2 linked regions of the Mus musculus genome follow. The protein of the gene in region 1 purifies or fractionates together with the protein of each later gene. This does not show direct contact. Links are inferred from orthologs where the notes say so. Each region holds a gene or a part of one and is shown on either strand. Other genes may lie near its edges.

Region 1 (4,376 bases):
CGACAGTTCCCTGGCCTCTCTCCTTACTCTGATGTCCTCATCTGTCTTCACATGGTCTCAGGACGCTAATACTCCATCCTAATGTACACTCCTTTCCCTGGGCCTCCGTTCCAGTTCAGTTCTCAGAGGACCTGGAGGGAGTGATTGGCTACACCAACTTTGCTTTCGTTCACCAAGCCCATGTCTCTACTTGGGTGTCTAATGGGCATCTCCAACATTACCTACCCCAAACAGAAAACCCTTTCTTCCCCCCACCACACCCCACCCTACCCCCACAGTATTTTCTCCATGCCCGGAAAGATCTGCTCTCTTATGGTCCCTCTTTGCCTCACTGAAAAGCAGGACAAGTTGGGGACTTCCCAAACTTTTATGCATGAAGAAACCCAGGCAATTTGCCAAAAGGTACACTCTGGGGGTCTGTCATTTACTCTGAGCCAGAACCCTGAAATTTTTACTAACCCATCACATAATGAATGAAGAGAATCTTTTTCTTTTTTTTTTTTTTTCTTTTTTTTTGGTTTTTCGAGACAGGGTTTCTCTGTATAGCCCTGGCTATCCTGGAACACACTCTGTAGACCAGGCTGGCCTCGAACTCAGAAATCCACCTGCCTCTGCCTCCCGAGTGCTGGGATTAAAGGCGTGCGCCACCACGCCTGGCTGAATGAAGAGAATCTTGACCTCATCTCCCCAGCCTCTTGGTCCTGAGGGACCCTGGTCTACCTACTGCTTTGCTGTCTTCTTAGCTCTTCTTACTTTTTTGCTGACTCAGACCTATGGCTATCTCCATTATACAGATGAGGAGACTGAGGCATGGATCCCTGGTTGGTCCATGGTCACGTGAAGCCCATCACCCAGTATTTGTAAAGTGAGATGGGCCAGGCTGGTACCTTGGAACTGAAACTCACACTGCCCTACCTGGAAGAATCTGACAGGCAAAATCTGCTGCTGAAAGTGATTGTCTGTCACGTTTCTCAGCTGCCCGACTCTGAGAACTCCACAGCCCCCTTTCGTTCCACCATACTACAGAGTCGCCACGGAAAGCCGGCTCTGTGGAGAAGCTGAGGTAGCTGGGTTTCTGTCTGGGTTACTCTGTCCAGCGAGGAAACAAGTACCTTAGACCCACTAAGCCTCTGCTTTCTGAACTGTAAAGTGGGGGATATGACACCTGCCTCCCAGGGATGGCTGAATGCTCTGGCAGAAGCTTAGAGCCCCCACAGCTACCCCTAGGCTCACAGCTCCTCCGATGAGACCTAGAATTGAGGTATGAGTTGAATACCCCAGGCAGGTCCAAGGCTTCCACGGGCCCAGGCTGACCAAGCTGAGGCCGCCCACCGTAGGGCTTGCCTATCTGCAGGCAGCTCACAAAGGAACAATAACAGGAAACCATCCCGAGGGGAAGTGGGCCAGGGCCAGTTGGAAAACCTGCCTCCCTCCCAGCCTGGGTGTGGCTCCCCTCTCCCCTCCTGAGGCAATCAACTGTGCTCTCCACAAAGCTCGGCCCTGGACAGACTGCAGTGGAGAGAGCCTTCTGCTCACGGACAAGGTAAGTGAGACTCCCAAATCCCTCTCTACTCCTGTCTCATGGAGATAAAACTGGGAGAGTCCTGGCTTGCCCGTATGGGATGGCCACTGTAGGACTCTCAAGGGAACACAGCCTCTCCGGAGCCTGAGTCTCTCTGCTGGGGCCAGGGTAGGGCTAAAAAAAATGCATATCTCTTAGTGTGCAAGGACACAAACGGTTATCTCAGAACCAATGTTCAAGAAAGACTCAGCAGCCTTGTAAGTAGACTGTCGTACTCAGGGAAACTCCAGTGACCTGGAGCTTCTATGACTACCAGGCTCAAAGAGGATAGGATTTCCACTGTCACTCAGCAAGGACAAGGGCAGAGGACTGGAGTCTGGACCTTGGATTTGAGTAGGATCTGCTTTGTGTGGGATGGACAAATAACGGCTCTGTGATTCCCTTCCCTATCTACCAGGATTAGCTCTGCCTTCTGCCCAAAGGACAATCTGGTCCAGAGCTAAAGAGATAGATTTCCCAAGGTCTGACTTATATTCCCCTGCCCCGTTATCTCTACCTACAACACCTCGAGGGACTAGGGTGGGATTTGGGGAGCTGAAAGGGGTACTCGTTCCCTCTGTCAATATCTCCCACTTTCAAGATGGGCCTTCTGAGGTTCAGCTCTGGGCACTTGGAGTCCCATTTATGAGCCCTCTTCCCTCATCTCCCCTAGACTCTCAGAGCCTGCTTTGTGTTTCGGCAGTTGCAGGCAGGAAGGTAGCCTGTAGTTTCTCCCCCAACACCAGATACTCAGAGCCCAGAGCTCAAGAATTCTTGTGGCCGTACAGCTCAGCAAAGTCTCTGGAAGGCCCTAGAGACAAGGACCTCTGAGCCAAAAGCCCAGCTCAGAGACAGTGACCCTCGGCACTGATCCCAGCCTACTCACTTCGGTGTGGCCTTGGGACGGTAACCTAAGGTCTCCAAACCTTCATTAGGAGAGGACATTTTTGGATGCAATTCTATTCACAATCTGTGGTGAGCGGTGGAGATGGTTCATGCAGAAAGAATATTCCGACAAAACAATGGCTCCTGGATTTACTATCCAGTCCCAAGGAGGTAGATAGGGTAACTCTGTACTCAGAGACAACAACAGAGATCCAGAGGAGAGTTAGTGTGAAAATTGAGTCAGAATGACGATGGGAACTTAGATTTAGTCCTCCTCAGCACGGGCTCTTCCTGGAACCTGTGACTACATGGGGTCTCTGGCTTCTAGACCATAAAGTTGTAGAAACATCTTCAGTCCTTACTTGTGATATACACTCTTGGCTCTGGGCTTAACTCCTAATGAGAGGCAGATAGATAGCCAGGGAATCCTGAGTGGATTTACCCACTACCCCATAGCCATAGGTGGCTGTGAATACCACAAAGATTTGAAACCACAAAGCACAAGTCTCACACCTCCTGTTAGGGGGTCTCACCCATGTGAAAGGAAGGGCCAGAGTAAGAGAGGCCATATACTTAGCTACCCCTGCTGCAAGCACCTCCGGGCATCTGCGTTCATTAGTTACCCCTGGAGGAATGTGGCAGGCAAGCAAGACTCTAATGACAGTGGATGACTTCAAGGTTGGAAGCTTGAAGGGTCTGGGAGGCTGGTGGGTTCTGGGTTCTTTAGAACTGGGTTGAATGCTGAGTCGCAGAGAGGATTTTGACAGCCCAGAACAATTAGTGGGCAAGAAAGACACAAAACTCTCCTGCATCTGGCCTGAGCCCAGCCATTTGCGGACTGGAAAGTACCAGGTGACCCCAAGGGGCCAGGGGCAGCTGATCCTCAGGGCAGTCCTTCAAATTCTAACTTTTCACAATTAGGAGCTAGAAGAAGTTCCCAGTACCTTGAAGGGGTTAACCTGCCTACCCCGTAGTCTCAGCCCGACCATTGTGCAGCTAAACAAGAACCGGACATAGAGCAGGAAGCCTGAAGGGCCACACTTTTTTTCTCCCAAAGTTAGATGAGTCACAGTTGCACGGGAACCTCGGAGACACCAGCCACCGTTCTAGCAAAAATCTCAACCCCTGGCTGAGTGGACCATTTCTGGTTGCTTCCATCACCTCCTTAGCACCCCCTCAGTTGACATGAATAATTCCCAAGTGACTGATGGGACCTCTGGAATCCAGAGAGGCTAGCCAGACATGTGGCCACATAGTATAAAGTGGGAAAGGGATAGGGCTGACCCCATAGCCATACTCTATATTGAAATTTAGAGAAGAGGCAATCATATACAATTTAGACCACCACAGCCAGTATAAGGATAAACTGGGAACTGCCCTAAGAGAATGGTTCTACTGTTGTTGGAGAAATATAAAAAGTTCATCATAACCCTGCTCTAAGTTGGCATTGAGAGGAGAAATTACAGAGAACTTCTTGAAGGAAGGGTGGGAACCTGGAATTCTGGGAAGACTCGCACAGCTCCCATAAACTCAGCCTTGGTCTCCCGTCTCTCTGCGTGTCAGAGGATGATTCTGACTGCCTGGCAGATGCACAGGCCAGGAGGGAGAAATGGGGCTCAGGGGTGGACAGATAGTGGTGAGTGATATTTACCCCTGGAGAAGAACAAGGAAATGGGAGGATGAGCCTACGGCAAGACCAGGAAATTAGGTCAGATGTGAGGCAGCCGGTGGAATGCACAGACCAGAGAGGAGGAGGTCAAGACACCTGCATATCTGGGAGCGCTGTCTGTGTATATTGGGGTTCACTGTGTATATTCTAGTCCTCCTGCCCAGGGATTCAGTGTTTGTTGCCTTTATTACAGATGCAGCCACTGAAGCCCAGAGAGGGCAAAGCACAGACCCAAGACCACAGAGCACACGAGCCACAGGT
Region 2 (3,848 bases), on another chromosome or scaffold:
CGCAGCATGGGCTATGATGACCTCGATTACGGCATGATGTCTGATTATGGTACTGCCCGTCGGACAGGAACACCCTCTGACCCTCGACGACGCCTCAGGTGGGCAGGAGTGGGGGAAGAGGTAGCTTTAGGGACTCCTAGAGGTCACTAAGCACCTGTCTGCTCTGAGGGCTCTTCCTCCTAGAGCTGATCTTTGCTGGCTGAAGATGCCATGCTGACTGTTTGGATGCGTAGTTGCCATGGAGGAAGATTTTACAATGGGATTGATTGGTCCTCACTCCCTTTCTTTCTTCCTTCCCTTTCTTTATTCTTGTTATTGTTGAGACAGGGTATCACTATTTAGCTCTGGCTGGTAGACCTTTTTTAAAGGACCCATTTTAGGCTTTGTGTGCTGTTCATTAGTGCCTTTGTCATGTCTCTTGTCGGGATTTCATATTTTTAAAAGGTTATTTTAAAAACTCTTACTTATGGGTGTGCACAAAAAAACATGTTTGGTCTTGGGCTGCAAACATTACTTTAAAATCAGGGTCTATATTTTCCAAGTTAAGAAATAAAGGAAGGCTTATAGTTATCTTGATAGTGAGGGTGCCCTGGCAGCTGTTCTCAGTCTTTGTAAGTAGGTTCATGACCTTCCAAAGCAAAGGTCTTGGCACTTTCCAAATGTATATTAGGTGGTATTGGCTAACCATAAACTGAATTAGTCTGGGACAGGAGTAGAGGCCCTATTATCTAAGCCTGAGTCACTGACACTCTTCAGATGGCGTGGTTAGCAAATTCAACTCCCATGTGACTCACCTTTTATTCCTAAAGGGGCACCAGATCTTAGCTGGTGTAAGCTAGCTAGGGTAGATAGATAGCAGCTATCATTAGAAGAGTCTGCCCAAGGAGTGGGGCTGAAGTCTGCTTGCTCTGACTTCCTCAATAGCCAAGAGAGATTAGACACAGGTGGGTGTGGATGACCAGACTGTTCCCTGCTGTCCTTTGAAGTGCCAGTCACATAGAGCGGGTTTGGGGCTTGGTTCTTGGGTTTATTCCAGGGTGACATTGAGTTTGGAATCCTGCTTGACTAGCAAGATTCTTGACTAGAAGAATTCTGCTTCCTGTTTCGGCCTTCAAGAATAGTGCAAGGTCAAACTTTCATAGCAAGGCAGTGATTAGTGGCAAAAGCACTGAACTTGAAAACCCTGGTTTTAGTTTGCCTCTGCCATTATCTATAGAGCCTTAAGCAAGTTATTGGGTCATTTGTGCAGTTTTGTTATTTGTGAAAGAATCTTGATCTACTGCCTATGAAAGAAGGAAGTATAAAGATAGACTTCCTTGAGTGACTGAAACAAAATCTGGCAGTGGCAATTATTTTTATAGTTGCTTGTCTTAAACAAGAAAAGTAAAATATGCTCAGCATACAGCCTAAAACACCATTCTCTCATGGACAGTTTGGTGTTTCTTGGGGTTTTCTTGAAAACATGTATCCTGTTTTCTCATTAAAAGGAAATATTTTTTCATATAGTGTTTAGCAATCTGCTTTTAAAACAAAACAACTTACTTTATTTTGTTTAAATGACATTTTAAGTTTAAAGGTGCCTTTACTATCAACCCCCTACTTCCCTTGGTTTTTCAAGACCAGGGCTGTCCTGGAGCTTTCTCTGTAGACCAGGCTGGCCTTGAACTCATAGAGATTTGCCCTGCCTTTGTCTCCCAACTACTGAGATTAAAGCCATGTGCCACTACTGCCAAGTCTATTTATTTTTTAATGAAATGATTTGTTCTACTGAGTTTTTTATTGTTTAATGATCAGTGTTGATACCTGTTAGGTAGGCTAATTTTCAATGTTTGGTGACTGTGGGAGTGGTTTTATGGAACAAGCAAGTCTTATTTGGAGAGTCCTACACAATAGAGTCCCCTATCCCAGTGGGAGCCCGGGGGGGGGGGGGGGGGGTTGGGTTGGTGGTGAGTGAGGTGAGCTCATAGATAATAGGGTTCTTCCTTTGTACTTATAAATAACAGTGTGACAGGCTCACCCTCTAGTGGGTATTGATGGTACTGAAACAGGAAGTGTTGCTTCTCATCTGACATCTTTCAGTTTCTTCTTCTGATCCAAGAGCTGGGACATTCCAATATATGTTGGTGTATAGGTGCCATTTGGCAGACATGGAAATGTAGAAGTTGAAGGATGGAACTCTTCTTGGAACATACCTGTCTGACTGAATAGCACGTGAGGCCCTGGGATGAACTGTGACAGCTAGTGTTCAAGTTTATGCCTCAGTAGTACTAAAGCTAACTCCTCAACAATATAGCCAGAAGTCCTCTGTTTTTCTTGATCAGTGCCTCTTCAATTTCCAAAATAGGGCGAGCTTAATAGTTTTGTTCCACTAGCTCTTTCCTGTGTGCGGATTCCTTGTGTGTTCTCTTTGTGATGAACGTTCCACATACTTGTCTTTCTCAATCAGCAAACTTCACAGGTTACTTTTTAAAATTTATTTATTTATTTATTTATTCATTCATTCATTCATTCATTCATTCATTGGTTTTTTGAGACAGGGTTTCTCTGTGTAGCCCTGGCTATCCTGGAACTCACTTTTTAGCCCAGGCTGGCCTCGAACTCAGAAATCCGCCTGCCTCTGCCTCCCAAGTGCTGGGATTAAAGGCGTGCGCCACCACACCCGGCCACAGGTTACTTTTAAGTTATTAAAATTGGACCCAGGGAGAGAGTTCAGTTGGTGAAATGCTTTTTGCACAACATGAGGACCAGGATTTGAGCTCCAGTACCTACATAACAAGCTAAGCTCTGTGGTGGCAGAGATAAGAGGATCCTTGGGTCCTGCAGGACAGTCAGACTAGTTTATCAGCAAGCTTCAGATTTGGGAAGAAACTCTGTCTCAAAAAAAAATAATAATAATAATGTCGAGGGACATTGAGAGTACTTGCACTTGCTCACAAAATTATTAAAAATTGACCATACAGAGGAGACACATGATCTCTGTAGAGCTGTGATCCTACCTTGAAGATGATTGGTAATAGGAATGTCTATGAAGCCAGATTTAACTGCTTGGTTCTTTGTTCTTTCAAAATTGCAGGAGCTATGAAGACATGATTGGTGAAGAGGTGCCGCCTGATCAGTACTATTGGGCTCCTTTAGCTCAGCATGAGCGGGGCAGTTTAGCAAGCTTGGATAGTTTGCGAAAGGGAATGCCCCCACCTTCAAACTGGAGACAGCCTGAGCTGCCAGAGGTGATTGCCATGTTAGGCTTCCGCTTGGATGCTGTTAAGTCCAATGCAGCTGCATACCTGCAGCACTTATGCTACCGCAATGACAAGGTGAAGACTGACGTGCGGAAGCTCAAGGGTATCCCGATATTGGTAGGATTGTTAGACCATCCCAAAAAGGAAGTGCACCTCGGAGCCTGTGGAGCTCTCAAGAATATCTCTTTTGGACGTGACCAAGATAACAAGATCGCCATAAAAAACTGTGATGGTGTTCCTGCTCTGGTCCGATTGCTCCGAAAGGCTCGTGATATGGACCTGACTGAAGTGATTACTGGTGAGTGCCAGGTTAGAGGTCACTGTTAATCTATAGACAGGTATGGATCTAGAACTTTCTAGACTCTTAACTTTTAATTAATTTATTGAATAATTAATTCTTTTTGAGTCAGGGTCTCACTGTGTAGCTCTGGCTGGCCTAGAACTCACTATGTTGAGCAGGTTGGACTTGAACTTGAAGTAATCTACCTGCTTCGGCCTCCCAAATTCTGTGATAAAAAGCATACACTACCATGCCTGGCCAATCCATTATCTTTTGATTATAGGTTCCGAGGTAGTGAGTAGCCTTGGGTCAAATCTGCTTTACAGATT

What was found. The genes of interacting proteins can lie anywhere in the genome.
Region 2: the proteins of Cdh5 (region 1) and Ctnnd1 purify together in Homo sapiens (affinity purification with western blotting; 3 studies listed by BioGRID and IntAct, counting the BioPlex papers as one, with this or other methods). This does not show direct contact. The link is inferred for Mus musculus from reciprocal best matches to the Homo sapiens genes CDH5 and CTNND1.

The regions. Positions count from the first base shown.
Region 1 is NC_000074.6:104,100,190-104,104,565, forward strand, and holds the start of Cdh5 (cadherin-5 preproprotein), read left to right. Parts: upstream 1-1,435; 5' UTR 1,436-1,543; intron 1,544-4,376. UniProt on the Homo sapiens protein: Cadherins are calcium-dependent cell adhesion proteins. They preferentially interact with themselves in a homophilic manner in connecting cells; cadherins may thus contribute to the sorting of heterogeneous cell types.
Region 2 is NC_000068.7:84,616,169-84,620,016, reverse strand, and holds part of Ctnnd1 (catenin delta-1), read left to right. Parts: coding exon 1-98; intron 99-3,073; coding exon 3,074-3,537; intron 3,538-3,848. UniProt on the Homo sapiens protein: Key regulator of cell-cell adhesion that associates with and regulates the cell adhesion properties of both C-, E- and N-cadherins, being critical for their surface stability.